Linked DNA regions of Arabidopsis thaliana. The protein of the gene in region 1 interacts with the protein of each later gene in a pairwise test. Each region holds a gene or a part of one and is shown on either strand. Other genes may lie near its edges.

The links.
Region 2: the proteins of CYCA2;4 (region 1) and ICK1 interact in a protein complementation assay, tested with the Arabidopsis thaliana proteins (one study listed by BioGRID).

What each region holds. Positions count from the first base shown.
Region 1 is NC_003070.9:30,211,638-30,217,750, reverse strand, and holds CYCA2;4 (Cyclin A2;4), read right to left. Parts: upstream 4,047-6,113; 5' UTR 3,915-4,046; intron 3,128-3,914; 5' UTR 3,058-3,127; coding exon 2,782-3,057; intron 2,686-2,781; coding exon 2,457-2,685; intron 2,368-2,456; coding exon 2,246-2,367; intron 2,167-2,245; coding exon 2,074-2,166; intron 1,995-2,073; coding exon 1,861-1,994; intron 1,790-1,860; coding exon 1,637-1,789; intron 1,550-1,636; coding exon 1,516-1,549; intron 1,423-1,515; coding exon 1,273-1,422; intron 1,189-1,272; coding exon 1,054-1,188; intron 950-1,053; coding exon 890-949; 3' UTR 649-889; downstream 1-648. Other genes in the region: AT1G80380 (P-loop containing nucleoside triphosphate hydrolases superfamily protein), read right to left, coding at 176-419.
Region 2 is NC_003071.7:9,975,864-9,980,075, forward strand, and holds ICK1 (Cyclin-dependent kinase inhibitor family protein), read right to left. Parts: upstream 2,228-4,212; 5' UTR 2,059-2,227; coding exon 1,861-2,058; intron 1,768-1,860; coding exon 1,724-1,767; intron 1,606-1,723; coding exon 1,339-1,605; intron 1,224-1,338; coding exon 1,157-1,223; 3' UTR 727-1,156; downstream 1-726. Other genes in the region: AT2G23440 (uncharacterized protein), read left to right, coding at 3,619-3,867. UniProt on the Arabidopsis thaliana protein: Binds and inhibits CYCD2-1/CDKA-1 kinase complex activity. Regulates cell division which is crucial for plant growth, development and morphogenesis. Functions in turning cells from a mitotic to an endoreplicating cell cycle mode.

The DNA.
Region 1 (6,113 bases):
AAACAACCAGAGAACGTCGAGGAGAGTAATAAAACAATCTCATGAGGAAATTCTAAAGCAATTTTGCATAAAATTTACGAAATAGCCAAACAATCATCAAAAGAAAAGAAAAGCAAACCTCAAAAATTAGAAGGAAGCGAGGAAAAGAAAAGAGATTATATTTGGAGGCGTTTACCAGCGAAAGAGGAATGGGTTCGAATTGGAGAAAGCTTGGAGGATAAATAAGAAGAGGAAGGGTTAACGACATGGTCGTTAAATTTGGGGGAAGAAGGAGAGAACGAACGTCTTTTGAAATTAAAAGAATTGCAAATTGGATTAGAAGAGTGACACGGAATCGGATAATCTCGGATATAAATCCGATTATTATAATGCTGAAGAGTCGACGATATCAAACTACTCCCAGATATTGCGACCGCCATTCTCGACCCCTTTTCTCTCTTGACTCTCTGACTCTCTCAAGCAGAGCGACACATCAGCAACGAGGAAGAAGAAGACCAACTTGATAATTTTTTATTATTGGTTTTTCGTAAAACGAAAAAGCAATTCTTGCCACATACTATGTGAGTCACAATTTCTCCGTTGGATAATGTGTAATTAATGCTTTGTCTCTCTGTCAACTGTAATAAAAAGATAAAATATTCGAAGCAGACCAGATATTGCCTTGAATAAACCGGGGGAAAAATGTACATTCCACTACAATTAACTCGTGTTACCGACAAGAACAAGTCCGGTTTGAAAGAACCAAACCTGTCTACAACTAAACCGAACTAACACCGAATCCGGTTACTTGGTAATGATGAGAGACCGTGGGAAGACACTGTTTTATTTGACAGACAGATGAATGTGGACCATCAGAAAAATGTTACTACAGATTCGTGTGTCATATCGGTTAGGAGATGAATAGCTTGTCCGGTAGCTCTCCAGAACTGAATACCGCCACGGATTTGAACTGTAAATTGCCAAAAAAAAAAAAAAAAACTGTTAAACCGAAACAGACCAGATTTCTTCATTCGGTTTAAGAAAACCAAACTAAGATTAATAATTTTTTAATACCTTGTCCTGTCTATACTTCATGCGTATAGAGTTTAAGGAACATCCTTTGGTGTTAAGCTGTAAATCTTGCAAGGCGTGGACAGATGCTTTGAGATCGGAGGCTTTGTACGTTGTGTAATGCTCAAGAGTTGGATTCTGTTCATAAAATAAAGTAAACAAGAGTGAGATTCAAGATTCGCTGTGTTTCTTAATGAAGAAGATAGTTGGTCAATTACAGACCCAAGGGTGGCTTGATTGGTTTAATGTCCACTTGGCAAGAAAAACAGCCGAAGCAGCGATGATCGAAGGAAGGAACTTCAAGAAAGGGTAGTCCATTAACGTCAATTCCGTTAGGTAATTCGCCAGAAACTCCATTTCCAGACTTTGATTCTGCAGACAAATTACCAACAAAGTTTCAATCTTTCTGCTACATGTTTTATGAGCAATAGATATATCTGATCTGATAAAAGAAAAGCACATTACCGGGAAAGAAACTTGAGCTGCTCGAAGAAATCTCCTGCAAAAATGAATGAATACTCTGAATCACCAAAGACTAAAAAGCAACAACACATGATAAAGCATTTGCACTGTCTGGTAAGATTACCTGAGGAATGTTTTTGAAGTGGGGGTGTAAATTTGAAAGCTAAAATGCTTGAGTACTTGGCTCTCCATTTCCAGGACCTGATCTCTTGTATAAGTGTTATCCGTGATGAAGCAGAACTCCTCAATGCGTGGCGCATGGATTTCCTCATACTTCCTGCAAGAACTCTTTTAGATGTTGTGTTCAGACCAGAGCATTATTTGATTTTAGGTGGATGAGGAACTTACGAAGCAATGAGCATACAAGTGATGCCAAGCAATTGAAGTCTCTGTCTTTCCACATAGTTTCCATGGAGAAACCAGTCTATGAGATACACTGTGAGGTAAAGAGTGTCAGGTACAAGTGTGTATTCCTCTGAGACCTGAAATTTTGAGTTGTGAGAAGCTACACAAAAAGACTTCATAAGTAAGCAACAAACAAACTGGAAGTAGAGAACTAACCTCTACAAGCCAATCAACAAGAATTCCCCGCATTGTCTCAGTCACATCTCTTTGTGTTTTCTCCATAAAATCAGGAAATGGTCTTCGTTTAAGCTGATAAGTAGACAAGTCGTAAGGATTCAAATGCCTCAAATGCATCATCGTAAGATATCAAAATCCAAGGGATAAATACCTCAGCAACACGCAGGTTGTAGTAGATGTCAGGTGCATAAAGGCTACAGAGTAGAGGATCTTTGTCATCTGAATCAATGTCAACGAATTTCGGGCTACTTGCTCCACCACAACTTCTCTCAACTGTAAACCATTTGCAAGAATAAAGATGCATCAGAAATGTTATACATTGCCCACTCAAGCTTCAGTAAATGACCATTTATAAAATTCACCTGTCCCAAAGGGTCTTGGAGGCGATCTGGAGCTTGGCTTTGCGATAATGCTATAGGATGTTTCGTTTGTGCCTAAGCTTGTATCTGTAAAAACAGACAAGCTTGCTCCTGCTGAATTTGACACAACTTCTACCTTTGCATCTGTAACTTGTGAAGTAGCCGAAGAAGATGCCACCTTGGAAGAAGAAGAACTCTGTCGTCCCTTCTTTATCTGCTTGATATTCTCCACCTAAGTAAAAAGAAGAAGCAACAATTGTCAGCAAAAACATACTTCTTGTCATATAAACTTAGCAATTCTAAAATGCTGCATTGTGTAGTTAACAACCGCAACACTGAAGCAACTTGTGTAAGAATTCTCGCAGGTAACATTAGTGATATCCTTAAGAACAGCTCGCTTCTTAGGTGCATTGGCTTTCTTCTCATCCAAGGCTGTTCTTTTACTCTTTGCTCTAAGAACCCGTCCCTGGTTCTGTGTTGTAGCAGCCACTTCAGAAGATGTTATCAGCTTAGAAGAAGCACGCAGAGCAGAGGCAAGAGCACGAGTTACAGGGCGACCATGGATTGGTATAGAGTTTCCAGAAACAGCATTCTCCTTCCCCATGATTGAAACCCTTTGACACGATCCAACCCTTTTCTAACGTTTGGGACTTAGCACCACATTAACTCTCGATCTGTGAATTTGAAGTCAAGAGAAATCGAAGATCAATGGCATGAAGATTAAACAAAACAGAGAGATATATATTTATCTATGCAGAGTCCAATGCATATAAGATGTTTGGAGAAATTGTTTATTCTAAACGAGGATTGTTTATCTGATCATTCATGACTAGACAAATAATTGCAACACGTACTTGTTGTTTAAGTTCGTCGAATCAAGTTCCAAAGTTTCAAGTCAGATTCAAGTTGAAAGAACAAGTCTTTGTGAATTACAATTTACTTGTTGACAAAAACTTGAAAACTGTAATGCAGAAAACCCTCAACGCTCGAAAGAAAAAGTCTTAGCAATTTTAGCAAAGACGGGAGCGACTTGCGCAGAATTTGGAGATAATTAAATTTGAAGAAAAAATTAGTAAAGTTTCTAAATTTCTTTCATGGGTTTTTATATAAAAATGTTTATCCATAAGAAATAGGAACAAGAAAAGGAACGACTAGATCAAATTTCTTCTGAGGATAACGAAAAGACCCATGATTTAAAGCTGCAAGATCTCCCAAAAAAACCTATCGATCCGTTCGTTAAAAAAAAAAGTAATCAAAGTCACATTTTCTTTAATCCAAGAAAAATCCGAGTGACCCATGAACCAAAAAAGCTTCAAAACCAAGATAAAGTTTCAAGAAACCCTCCAGGAGAACCGCCTCAAAAAAAAGAACAGAGGGTCGGCATAAAAATAATATCATCACATTTCACAAGCAAAATAAAACAGAGAAGATGGAGATAGAGAGACTAAGATAGAAACTTACTACGCTCCAGAAATTTCTTCAAGAAGAAGAAGAAGAAAAAAAGTCTTTTTTTTTTTCTTTATTAATTTGGGGAAATGAGCTCTACGAACAGAAAAGATGGGAGCTTGGGCAGATCGAGAGAGTAAATGGGTTATAGTCAATTCGCTTTTATGCAAAGGGACTGTCTCTGAGAGTGAGCGGGATATAGAATGGTTTAAAGATATAAGTTTTATATTCTTTTCTTTTCTGTATATAAAAATAGAAACTTTATTTTTATTAGAGAAAGAAGTGTTTGTTTATGTGCTTATAACGCAACTCATTGACTGTTTGACCATAAAACAAGGGGATAAAGAAAGAGCTAACACTACAGTTTAGTTTGCTTGGGATTTTTTTTGATAAGTAATTTGTGGTTAATCTTTTCAATTTGGTACGTGATTGAACATAGATTTTTCTTTAGATTTTGGTAACTAATCATTTACCTTATTTTCACCCATTGCTAGTTTGGGTTCTGTGTCATTTCCATTTCTCCATTAACCTGTTGTATGTAATTAATGATGCAGATTTTGTTTTTCTTCTCTCTGTTCGAATGTTTTTTTTATATTTACTTTTTGTATTAAAGTAAAAGAACGATAGAGAGGAGGAATAGTTACGTTTTCCAAGAAATGTGTCATAATTTATTTACATAGATAGTAACAGCGCATTTTTTAAAGACAGTAACAGCGTGGCTATTCATCCAAAGGTAAATAAAAATGATTAAATTACAAAAAACTCTGTTCAAATTTTGAAGATTTGAAGAAAGATTCCACCATTTATTTTTTTAATGGTAAAGTTTTTAACTTTTGAATAGAAAAACTAACTAGTAGTAAAAAAAAAAAAAAAAAAAAGACCAAATGCACGTTTACCCCAGAATCACTCTTCTGATATTTATATTTACGTTTCTATGTGTCTTTTAATATTCCTTAATGCTTATTTGGACTCCACATGCATGTTAAGTAAGAATCCATCCATAAATTCTACACTATCCTTTCAAATTTTTAAACATTTTGTAGAAACTTAAAGAACCCGTTTCTATTTCTATAGGATTTGCTCCGTTTTAAAATCATACTTACGACGCTCCCGTGGTCTTTGTATACTATTGAGTAAAAAGATAACATGCATTATGTGATACTAACACTTTCTTTATTTCGTGTAAAACAAAACTTATGTCTAATTTTCTCATCGGTTACTTTGACCAAATCTACGTGAAATAAAACTTGGAGAGTTTTTTCTGCGATTAAACGTTATATACAACACTCTTTTTAAATAATACTAGGAGTTATGAAAACTGTATTAGATCTCATTGTACTTGACATAATCAGTTTAGAATTAAAAAAAACTTAATTTAAAACAAAAAGAAAATATGATAATAATTACTTTTGATGCTTAGATCCGCAGGATCCACTTAGAAAAAGAAAAGATACTTAGGACATGAACAAATAATTAAGTGGTGGAATCTGCCATTTCAGGTCTTGTTATGTTTAAGACCTTGGTAATCTTGTATGTTATACATTATTTCACATCTTACCTATAGCCGTTTTATCAAAATATAGCAGAAGTTATTTTATTTTTTTAATATTTTTTTGTTTGATATATTTTCTTATTCAGAATTATCTTTGTTTTCAAACTTAATTATTTATTTTTGCTGTTGTTTCGCGTTTGAAGCAATTCAATTACGAGTTTTAACAAAAACAAAAAGAAGAAGTTCGAAAAACTATCAGATTTGAAATGAAAATGACAAATCTTTTAAAGTTAAAGTTGAGTCTATTTTGTTCGGTAGTACGTGAAAGGGCAGTAAAGTCTACTGATTAAGTCAAAACTTTCATATGAAACTTTGATGTTAAGTGATATAATCGAAGAAAGCATCACAAACAAACAAAAGTATCCTTGGGATAATTATTTATATACAACGCACGAGTAATTCAAAAGCTACAGTGAGGAGCTATAACCAATAGTCTCACTTACCACATGGGAAGTTACATAATCAAAGCTCATGGATTTCAAATTTAGGATATATACAGTATGTTCTATTGTATATGTATTGGACTAATGCGTTAAAGCTGTTATAGTGTGAGAAGGACGTAACGAGAGGTCTTCGTGGACCTAATAATAATAACGTTTTACGGTTTTATCCAAAGACCAAAAAGCTACTAGATCTACGATTCAAACCAACACGCATAAAGA
Region 2 (4,212 bases), on another chromosome or scaffold:
CATATTGTTGACGAAAAAAACATGAACTTTTCAAATGTCATTTAAATCCTAAAGTTTAGTTTGACTTCTTAAAAAATAGTTAATTTAGTTGACTTGGCCATTCCAAACATATCTTTAAGTTTCCCTTAACAATATCACGAAAATAAAACAGCCCTCGATGAAAGAATTGTTTTTGTTTATTTGAGTCCCTCATTTAACCTGTTTGTGATCTGAATTAAGCTTACATATACAAAATGGTCCATGATCATTTGTTTTGAAGATTTTCTGAAATGGTCCATGAAAGAGTTTTGTTTCCAAGTCTTCGGATAATTTGTCTAGTTACAAAATGGTCCTGCATCATTTGGAATAATGTATTTATGGCATTATCTCAAAATTCTCTAACCATTGGGCCAGTACAGTATGCCCTTTACAGATCTAAAGTTTTATTATATGCTAGTATTATTATAATTAAAATTTTGAAAAGTTTCAAACCAAGTTTCGTGTGATAGAATGTTTGTGATTTGTTATTAATCAATAAACTTTAAGAATAACAGAATCATCTTGAAATTCTGATTGGTCGAGCTCAATCATATTCGGTGCTGAATATGAAACAAAAAAATTAGTTGGTGTGGTTAGCTGACATGGTTGGTACGATTTTGTTCAACAAAAAACTGCACTGAAATTGTCGATTAGTTAATTTAAGTAGTAGAACAATAATAACTAATTTCATAGTACTTTTTAATCCATATCAAACGTTGTAAGAAATAAAATTCTAAAATAATTTTAAGCGTTTAGGGCGGTAAGATAATCTACCAAAATGCATTTGATGTTTTTGGTTGAATATTATTAAAACGGAGAAGACAAAAAAATGAGTGTGGTTGTACCTGTGTGGGGATAGAATTTTATCAGTCACCAAAAACATAAAAATGTACTAAAGAATATGCTAAAAGATACACAAGATTCGAAGAAGAGGTAAAAGTAGAGCTAAAAGACACGACTTTTCTGGGCTCTAAAATCTGTTAAAAAGCTTTCTTCTTTTTCTGTGCAATTTCGTACTTCTAAAAACATTCCTCCTACAAATCTTATATTTCCAAATCAACAAAATAAAATTAACTTATTCCCTGAAATATTAAAATCTAAAAAGTTAAAAAAAAAACCATAAACTTCTTCTTCTTCTTCACTCTAACTTTACCCATTCGTAACGTCCTTCTAATGGCTTCTCCTTCTCGAAATCGAAATTGTACCTAATTAAAAAAAAATAAACTCACTCTTAATTTTACCTCAAAATCAATTTTAAATTATGAATAAAAAATATATTATCTATAAAAATCAAACTCACAAAATAAAATAAAAACTTACTTCTTCTTGAATTTTTCTTTGAGTTGTTTCTCAGCTTCCACAAAAAAATCTTCAATTTCCGATTCCGTTGGCATCTCCGTCATCAATTTCGCCTTCTCCTCCTCCTCCGCCGTCACCGTCTCCTCCATCGTTTTCCTCCCGCTACAACAACAATCTAACGATTCTTTAACCGCCGATTCAAATTCCGATGAATAATTCTCCATGGATTTACTTAATTCTTCTTTCTCCTCCTCTCTCAGATTTTCAAAAAGCTTCCTCTTCGTACCCCTAAAATAACTCACAAGCAAGATTCTAAATTTATTGAAGAGAGAGTCAAATAAATAACCGGGAAAATAATAAAACCTTCAAAATTCAAATCATTTTCAGTTTTTTTTTTAACACTCACCGTCGATACGTCGACGTTTCAGTGTCACCATCTTTATCTTCCTCCTACAAAAATTTCAAAATTTCAAAAAAAAATACATTAACATTAAATGATACATATACAGTTACAAGAATCTAGAATCAACAACATTAAATAACCTCCAGATGTATTAATTCTTTCTTCTTATATTCATTGCTTCCACTACAAGACGACGAAACTCCATTATCACCGACGACGGAGACAGAGCTTGATTTTTCCGATCTAACATAAACAATTCTCCGGCTCCGTAGCTGCATATACGTTGACGAAACTCCAGCTTCTACAATTCCTTTAGCTTTTCTATATTTTCTCACCATCTTCGATTTAGGTTACGTGTGCGTGAAGTCACAATCTCTGTGAGAGAGAGAGATATGATTGAGAGGATGAGGAAGAAGAAGAAAGAAAGATGATGAATTTGGTTTTGAACGGTCAGGATTGAGTTTTGTGCTGTGTGTGATAGAGAAATGGCGTGTTTTAGTGGTCCCGTTACAGTGACGGGGAATCTTTAACGGGGAAACTGGAGGCGCCGTTATTTGGATGTTATGGAGTTACTTATGCCGATGGTTTGTTTTATTGACACGTGTCGGTTATAAACGGTGACTTAACGGAACGGGAGGCGTAATAATTGTGGTGTAACTAACTATTTTAAAAACCCTCTCATCTATTGGTAATTCACAGATTTGCCATTACGCGAAACCGTTTAAAATGTTTTAAATTATAATTGACAAGCTTTTTGTATAGTTGGGATGAATTTTATAGTTTAGGTAAAATTAGAAAGTTCATATTACTTTAAAATGAATTGGATAGAGACTATATATAGATTATGTGTATAGTATAGGTGGATTGTTACGGATAGCCTAAAAACTACGTACCTGTGAGTAAAATAAGGTAAAAGTAAAACTGACACTAGAAATTATATTTTTGTTATCCCTGCGTATTTGCTTAGCCTGATGTCAAGTTGTCAACAGCACGTGTCGATCGTGATATATTGGGCTTAATAAGTCATAATATAGTAAAGGTTTCTAAGAACTAAACTTGGCCTCCATCACTTCCCATGGGCCTTGTCAGCCTTTCTATGTTTTGTTTTTGTCTCAAAGCATGAACAAAATGGAGTGGCGAGTGCATTCAAATTACCATGTCTTGCTTTAAAAATTAAAAATATTTTTTTTTTCACTGAAAGATAAATATATACTTCATAATTTCCAACCAAACATACAAAAAAATGTGGATCAAGGACAATCATTCTAGATCAACCAGTATTACACTAGGCATTTTTTTCTTCCTCAAAAAGTTGTTTTAACCAAAAAGAAAACCTAGTTGCTACATACGATTAACGGCGATCATTTTTTGTTACGCTCTTGGCAATAAAGTGAGCATCAAGATTAGATCTCCTTAACTCACCAAGCAATTTTCAATCCAAAAAATTCCCTAGTTTCTCAATCAAAAGAAGGGACTGAAATTTACATGAAGGTCATGCAGACGACTTTTGTTTTAATTGAATAACATAAAACTTTTACTCACTTTACAAAAAAGTATGAATCTATAACCCTAGATTTATAAAGATATTAGAAAACTTTTTATAAATCTTAAATTAATAACAAAGAACTTTAATAAACTTTTTAAAAATCTTGATTGAATAACAAACGATTTTACATAATCGTTAAAGTTCTTTTAAAATCATAAACCAATAATACCCCCTAAATATTTAATTTATCTCCTCAAGTGTTGCGCCCATGTTATGTAAAATTTCATCCCTATAAATACATCAGATGGTCCAAGAGGTTTCATGCATCAATACATAATACATTTTCGCCTTCGACTAAATATTATAATTTAGCTTCTTTTTTTTTCTAATTCTCGTCTCGGTTTTTCTAGTAATGGCGACGATTAATGTTTACGTTTTTGCATTTATCTTTCTTTTGACTATTAGTGTTGGTTCAATTGAAGGCCGAAAACTCACCAAATTCACCGTAACGACGTCTGAGGAAATCAGAGCTGGTGGCTCTGTATTGTCGTCGTCACCTCCGACTGAGCCACTTGAGTCGCCGCCGAGCCACGGGGTTGATACCTTCAGACCTACGGAACCTGGTCATAGCCCCGGTATTGGACATTCCGTACATAATTAACGGAGAGGAACAATAGCATCGTCTATGTGATTACATGTTGAAAATATGATTGGCCTGGTGACTTTTTTTTTCTGAATATGTATTTACGTACAGTTTCGTCATATTCAGTTTCTTGCAAGTGTGATTGTAATAATATTTATTTGATTAAATTAAGATTGATGTAATCCATCTTATTTTAAAAGCACATACATTTTTTTATCAGGTTCCAATTTTCTCATATATTTTTCTATCGAGATGTGTCACTCGCTTGAACTAAGAAATTTTTCTATCGAGATATGTCATTCGCTTGAACTGAATCATACGTAACTCGATCTAATCACAAACCGATTTAGGAATAGAACTATA